Linked DNA regions of Xenopus tropicalis. The protein of the gene in region 1 interacts with the protein of each later gene in a pairwise test. Links are inferred from orthologs where the notes say so. Each region holds a gene or a part of one and is shown in the gene's direction. Other genes may lie near its edges.

What was found. The genes of interacting proteins can lie anywhere in the genome.
Region 2: the proteins of pex13 (region 1) and pex14 interact in a two-hybrid assay, tested with the Homo sapiens proteins (2 studies listed by BioGRID and IntAct, with this or other methods). The link is inferred for Xenopus tropicalis from reciprocal best matches to the Homo sapiens genes PEX13 and PEX14.

The regions. Positions count from the first base shown.
Region 1 is NC_030681.2:33,784,178-33,788,260, reverse strand, and holds the start of pex13 (peroxisome biogenesis factor 13), read left to right. Parts: upstream 1-1,255; 5' UTR 1,256-1,354; coding exon 1,355-1,431; intron 1,432-4,083. UniProt on the Homo sapiens protein: Component of the PEX13-PEX14 docking complex, a translocon channel that specifically mediates the import of peroxisomal cargo proteins bound to PEX5 receptor.
Region 2 is NC_030683.2:64,165,862-64,169,518, forward strand, and holds part of pex14 (peroxisomal membrane protein PEX14), read left to right. Parts: intron 1-1,414; coding exon 1,415-1,517; intron 1,518-3,657. UniProt on the Homo sapiens protein: Component of the PEX13-PEX14 docking complex, a translocon channel that specifically mediates the import of peroxisomal cargo proteins bound to PEX5 receptor.

The DNA.
Region 1 (4,083 bases):
TAATGGGGGTCACTGACCCTGACAGCAAGTCCCTGATTCTTACTGAAAATCCACTCATTTCCCTTTGATCTACTGCACTGAATGCCTAAAAAGATACAAAGTCAAAGGCATTTGGCAGAGAGCCCTGAATACTCAACACCTGCACTTAGATACAATTGTAACTAATAAGATAAACAGATCTCTTGGGGGAACGGAGACTTGCATCTTTAAGGGCATTTCATTAACACTGTAATAACATATGAAACAAAATCTCAAGAAAAGTGTTCAAATGGGCAGCATTTCTTTTTGCTCCTCTTTGCATTTGTCCAATGTTGGGGGGTATGTTTTATAGAGACCTACATTGTTTAGCCAGGGTTTTTTTCCTCAAATATTTTATGACTTTGCACTGCTCCTGAAAAGAATATACATGTCTTGTTAACTCACAGCAGGAGGGACAGTGAGTGTGAGTGAGAGAGTGTGTGAGTGTGTGAGTGTGTGAGTGTGAGTGTGTGAGTGTGTGAGTGAGTGTGTGAGTGAGTGTGTGAGTGAGTGTGTGAGTGTGTGTGAGTGAGTGAGTGAGTGTGTGTGAGTGTGTGAGTGTGAGTGTGTAACTCACTCACAGTCCTGCTCATTTCTATAATCAATTAAATACACCAGAATATATTTGCCAAAAAGAAAAATCTTACCTTTGTCCTCACAGAAACTGCTCACTAAGGGCACAGAAGACTTACAAATCCGACAATTCTAATTAATTTCAGATACCTTTTAAAAGGTAAAAACAGAAAGAGAAGCAGTGTGTCAGACACACGTGTTTCAGACTTGCCTCTCCTGTACCGACACTCGGCAGAAGTGGCCTCTACAGTGTGGCCTATTTAATAACCAGGCCTAGTCTCTGTTATTTCTCTCCAAATATAACAGACAGACAGTGGTATCTAGTTAAAAACAAAAGTAAAACTATAGGTGTGTAAATAAACGGAACGCAAAACAGGTTTATTGCGACTGGGGGCTGAGATATTGTTGCGCACCTATCGTTCCAGACTTTATGAATCAAATGCCGATGCCGCTGGATAACCCAGAGCCCTCTGCTGGCTGGGGGACATGTTATGCACATGCTATTCAGGAAGCACAAATAGAGTTACATTTAAGTCATTAAAATATAGCAACTTGATAATTCTCATCTGGCCGGTACATAATGCTAATGTTACTACCGGTAGTTTGTATACTAAGCTGCACTCGGCTATCTATAAACAGTCCTTTTCTACACAGGCACATCGGCCGCTTCACCCCATGGTTCGATGCATCGGCGGTTGATTAATGTTCAGCTGGCTGCTCGGTGCATAGGGCTGCCTTCGCTACGGACCTGCAACCGAGCAGGATGGCGTCTCAGCCTCCTCCGCCTAAGCCATGGGAGAGCAGAAGGGTGCTAGGCGGCCTCCCGGCCCCGTCCTACCAGTAAGCGTGATAATGCTTGGGGCTAGTGTAAGGCCGCAGATCTGGGCAATAGGAAGGGTGTGTAGGCCAGTGGGACTGAAGTCCAAGGAAAAGCAACTTGTGTCAAAGCTGATGTAAAAGCGAGAAGTTAGAAACACAGAGTTGCCTTTATATTGGGTTACAGCTGCACAGTGTTGCCAGTGTGTATATCGGGTATTTGCAATGTGCAACGCCACAACTATAGTGCTGCAGGATGGACTGTTCTTATTCTCCACCCAGTAGGATGGCTCAGCTTCCCAGCATTTCTAGGGGCAGCGCAGACTGACTATTATAGTACTCTCATGGTGCTAAACCCGGGCAGCTCTCATTAGTCCACCTGAGTGCAAGGAACACTAATAGAAGCAAATGCCAGATTGGTTGCTGTAGGACAGAGAGATCCCCAACCAGTGGCTCGGAGGGCAACATGTTGCTAGCCAACCCCTTGGATGTTGCTCCCATGTGTGCCCTCAAAGTAGGTGCCATCTTTGCATTTCTGGCTTGGAGGCAAGATTTGGAAGGCAAGAGACACAGATTTACCCCAAGCAGAGCCTGCTGCAGGCCACATGAGGCTACCAAATAGCCAATCACATCCCATATTTGGCATCCCCAAGGAACTTTTGGCTGGCTCTGGGCTGGAGATCCCATATGTCTTTTATTATCAGCTCCCATCAGACAGCCAGAGCCTGGAGTTTTCTACTAAAGTAGGAATAGTTCTAAACTCCCAGCAGTTTTTATTAGTCCTCTTGACTGGGCAAGTGCATGTAACACCAGCGGAAGCAAATGCAAGACTGGCTGCAGTGGAGTGTGCAGTTTTACTTCAGTTTTGTTGCACTATAACCTGGCTGTGCAACAGCTCTCATCATCCTCTGATAGCTAGACCCTGGGGTTTGTAGTTCAGTAACAGCTGTTGGGCCTTCACTTAGTTTAAAATATCAATATGTGAGCCTTAATTTGTATTTGTAAATATCTGTGCAAAAACCCCAATTGATTAGCTGATTCAAGCTAGAATGTCAGACTAGCCCCCGTTAGCACTATGTCTCCCAGCACCTTAAGGTGCCTAAGGAGCTGGCATGTAATGTATCGAGGGCTTCTTAACCTATGAAAGGTTTCATTGGTAGCAGTGCTGTAAGGGTTTTGTTATAGCAGAATGCCTCTTGTACGGCACGCACTGCTTGTGACAGTGTTTATGATTAGAGGTAATAGGACTCAACTCAAGGAAGTCCAAAGGGTTTGTTTATTATGTTTGTATGACTCCACAGTTTGCCTCGAGAGATTAAGGAACACTGATCCGTGCATATTCCTTTATTAATCCATATTAATCCATATTGTGTCATATATTAGACGTCACAAAGACATTTAATCACCGTGTAAACTCTGCAGTTAATTTTAATACTCTAGTCTAGTGTTTAAAAGTAGGGGATAAAACTTTCAGGGAGTTGAAACAATTGTGACATCATTATGAGGCAGATTTATTAACATTTGAATTAGAGTTTTTACCGTGATTCGACTGTTTTTTTAAAATCACAAACTCAAATTAGTTTCCAAAACTGGAATGTTAAATATTTAATTAAGTCAAAAAAACTTGCAAAAAAAAAAGTCTAGCAAACTAGGCTAACTAGCAAATCCATGCAGGAGTCTATGGGAGTTGTCTTTGCTAAGTTTTTCAACATTTTTCAAGTCAATTTTTTTTTAAAGTTGGCAGATACATTTAAAAATTGAGTAGAATGCAATTTTGCTACATTCATGTTTTAAAGTTTTTTCTAATTACGTTTTTTTTTTAAATTTGATCTCAACTAAGATATAATTAATCCTTATTAGAGGCAAAACCTATTGGGTTAATTTAATGTTTAAATGATTTTTTAGTAGACTTGAGGTTTGGAAATCCAAATTACAGAAAGACCCCTTATCCAGAAAACCTAAGGTTCTGAGCATTCTGGATAACAGATCCCATACCTGTAATACAAATATTTTAATGGTTAATGTGATACTAGTCACCATAGAATTTATATTACAGGTTATTTGCTACTTTTGCTATTATTATGGGGGTAAAACACCAGATTTATTTTTTTTAAAAAAGCTCTTTGAAGCCAAAACCATGATTTTCCTTGCACTGTGTTTACATATGTGCTTTTCTGTTTGTAGACTGTTAACCCCCCATGTGCACACACACAGGCATTCTGGTCTGTTGTTTACTATTTTTAAAAAAAAGCTAAGGTCACACTGGAGAACATACCTTTGGAGATAAGAGGGGGTACTGTAGTTAAAGCTGGCCATATGCTGAAAGATTCACGGGTTTGGCAAAGTCAGTAAATGGTAGGATCTTTTCCTGATATGCCCACCTTGAGGTAGCTGATATTGTATTGGTCACATTGATGGAATGGATGGGTGTGGACCACATCAACAAGCTAACACGCTCCTCGCACCAACTGAATTTTTAAACCTGCCCAATGAACATCTGGGCAATTTTCAGCCAGGTATCCATTGGGTAGGCCAATCAGAGGGCCCTGCACTCATTCGGCAGCTTTTATTGGACCCCTGACTTGCCTTTAGGCACAGTGCACCAGGGCAAGTAACCTGCAGCAACTAATACACAGGTAGCATTTACTAAATACTAGTTTAGAAGTAATTATCTAA
Region 2 (3,657 bases), on another chromosome or scaffold:
CTCTAAATGAACCTTTATGCCTTACGCAGAGTGTGTATGTTAAATGTGTTTTAACCCCTTGCTAGTTAGAAGGAAAGTGTGTCTGCTTAACCCTTTGTTTGCTTGCAGAAAAGTTGTGTGTTGTCTGTAGACTAACTTGCATTGTCTGCTGGGGTGTCTGCTAGAGTGCTTAGTTAGAGTTAGAAGGCCTAGGGTGATTTGCCTCTGTGAAGCATCAGTGTCCAATAGAACATCTAGACTGGAGGGGTGCTTGCGGCCTGAAAACACTGTGGTGGCAATTTTTAAGTTCGGCGGGTTGGGGCTGTTTGGGGTTGATTGCATGAGTTAGCGAGAAACTGTGTAGTTGATGTGTTAACCCATACAGCCGCCCACCTGGTCACTTACATCTGTGGTGGCGTTTGTGACAATGCTACTTTAAAAACTGTTTGCCAACAACAGATGTGGGTTGAAATTATAATTTCTTTTTAAATATTGGAAATGCATCTTCTTTCTCAAATCTTTTTGTACCATGCAATATGAAAAGGAGTCTGAGAAAAAGACCTGGCTAAAAGCAAACTAGAGTCTCTATAAATATTCAAGGGTGTAATCCTTCAGGGCAGGAGGCCTTCCACATTACTTTGCTAAGGTTTAATACCATTTCCTGTGTCACCGCTGACTTGTTTGAGAAGAGCTGTATGTGATGAGTGGAAAGAAGTGAAGAAAAGAACTGGTTAAGCACATTTGCTTTTTCAAGAGACCATTGTAACATATAATAATAAAATATTTCCATTTTTATTAATGGAGCCATACTTTCAACCTGTATTGTTTCAATTCTGATATACTGAAAAAAAAATGGGATCAGTTGTTGCATGTAAAGCAGTTTTAGGAAACTGAATTTTAGTACTTTCAGATTCATTGTTTAGCAGGCAGGTTGGGTTATGAAGTTTTCAGCTAAAAACACAGAAAACAGAAATTTAACATGCTTTTAAATAGCTATTTAACATGCTATTAAGTTATTACTGTTCAAACTTTATTTTTAAGCCAGAGAGGACTGACACTCTTACCGCATATAAAAACATTAAATTACATAATACACCGAGACCCAGGTCATCTAATACTTGCATACTTCTAATATGCTCTGGGTTGTAAAAGGTCGCTGGATCCAGTTTAAAATATTTTTTGTTTTTAATATATTTTTAAATTACTTTCTCTGTAATAAACAAAACGACCTTTTCTTTGATGTTAACGAAGCTGCATAAATCCATGTCGGTTGCAAAGCAGTCCTATAGGTCTTTTAAAATGTTTAATTGTTTTTTAGTAGATTAAGACAAGAGAATAATTCTTGAGTAAAAAATACCCATAAAACCTAAAAGTGGTGTTTGAATGGCAGCGGCCTGCTCAGTTCCATGACTTCTAGTTTTCTTACCTTTTACAGAGATACCTGCTCCCATTGATCATTGGTGGCAGGGAAAGCCGCAAGCAGCTGCAGCGTATTGAGTCTGGGGTGTCTGAGATGAGTGGCAGTGTGACACAGACAGGTAAAGATTAACGACTCCATTTCACCCTTCTTCACACACACACAGCCCCCCCTCTTCCCCTCCTCCTGCTCCTTCAGTATTCGTCTCTTCCCTTTTATATGGTGACTTCATTTATCTGCTCGCAAAATCTGTTCACATTTGCAAATGAAGGCGCCGTCATTTCGGTTTAATTTGAAATTGCTTGTTTACTGTCGCTGCGGCCTCAATTAATTATGTTTTTACGGAAAGGCTCCCAACCTCAGAATATTAATAAGGGAATTGGAGTGACAGCTTTTTAGAGCAATGCAAGGTTCAAGCATCTACCTCCTCTCAGCCATGCAGCAAGAGTGTGGAGAATTGCCTGGATTTGTTTGTTTAGGAATTATCTTCTTCATTTCCTCTCCTTCCATTGCATCCAGAATTTATTAATATATATTAATATATATATATATATATATATATATATATATATATATATATATATATATATATATATATATAATGTGACATATAGTGATACAAATATATTTATATTAATAACATTTGTTCATCATATTGCCCAGCATATAGAAAAGAAAAGGGAAGAGTTAACTTTCTGAGATTATAGTTCTGTAGCATTTAGTCCTGAATTTATGGGCAACAAGATAAGAACTTGTACATTGTAGAATATATATATATATATATATATATATATATATATATATAACATAATTTTAGGTAGTAGCCCAGTCTTACCCAGTCTTATATCAGTCTTTATTCATTTTAATAATACAAAAATTCTTCCTTCATTGTGCTGGGGTAAAAATTGAAGTAAAAAAAAGTTTTTATTGCTCTTGTAAATACATGTTTTTGTTAATTATGTCTCCACTGGTAAATATGTAGCCTGAGCACTGCTAAATGATAGGCTTTGCCTCAAATGACTGCATTATAACTCATTCTTTCATAATTAGTCTTGTTGCCTATCTTTTACATTGGCCCTACAGTGCAGAGTGCAGATGTGACTTAAACTGTTACAACCTGTGGTAAAACTTGTTGAACATTTTACAGCATTTTATAAAAATTTGAATTGCTGCGGAAATCTTTTTATAGTGGCCTTCTAAAAGTCTTTATTGGAACAGAATATATATCTGTATTTCAAAAAGCAACCAGCGTACTAAAGGAAAATTGCTAACAAACGTAAAAGTGTTTTGTTTTTTTTCAGTAGTGTTTCTTTTTTGGCCAAATCCTTTAAAACTAGAGTTGAATATATTAGTGCACATCCCCTTTAAGCCATTTCTGTTGCTGCTTAAATGCCTGCACTAGATAAAAAAAAGATAAAAAATATACTGTGTAAAATATAAATAAAAGGAAAATGGGATGATTTTCATTTAAACCCAGTTTTAAACTGCAGATAGTACGAAGACAACATACCAAATGTTGAAACAGAATTATTTTTCTGAAAAATATAATATAGTATACAGTATATGCTTGTTTTGAATTTGATGCTAGCAACACCAGAAAATTGTGTAATGTTAAAAAAAAAAAACACCTGGTAAAACATGTATGTATATCTTTATTTATAAAGCGCTACTTACTTGTATGCATCGCTGTACAGCAGAACAATGGGTTAATACAGGGATCCCCAAACTTTTATACCCGTAAGCCATATTCAAATGGAAAAACTTTTGGAGAGCAACACAAGCATGAAAAAAGTTCCTGGAGGTGCCAATGAGAGCTATAAATGGCTAACTGATAAGACCCTATGTTGACTAGCAGCCTACAGAAGGCTCTTTTTGGCAATTACACTGGGTTTTTATGCAATCAAAGTTTGCCTTCTAACCAAAAATTCAAAAATGAGCACCTGCTTTGAGGCAACTGGGAGCAACATCCAAGGGGTTGGGGAGCACCAACTACTAAGCCACTGGTTGGGGATCACTGGGTTAATACTACAGGGGGTTATTAAAATAATAATAGATAAATACAAAGTATAACAATAATTACAAATTAATACAAGGTACAGTTGCAGTAACTTAAGAATCAAAGAGAGAAGAGGATGGAGGTCCCTGTCCCATAGAGCTTACAATCTAAACATCTCAAGAATTGGCAAGAGGTCAGTACCATGATTGGGAATAAAAAGAGTGGATCCCAGAGAATTTCTCAGAAGTAAAGATGGGGAAGCGTA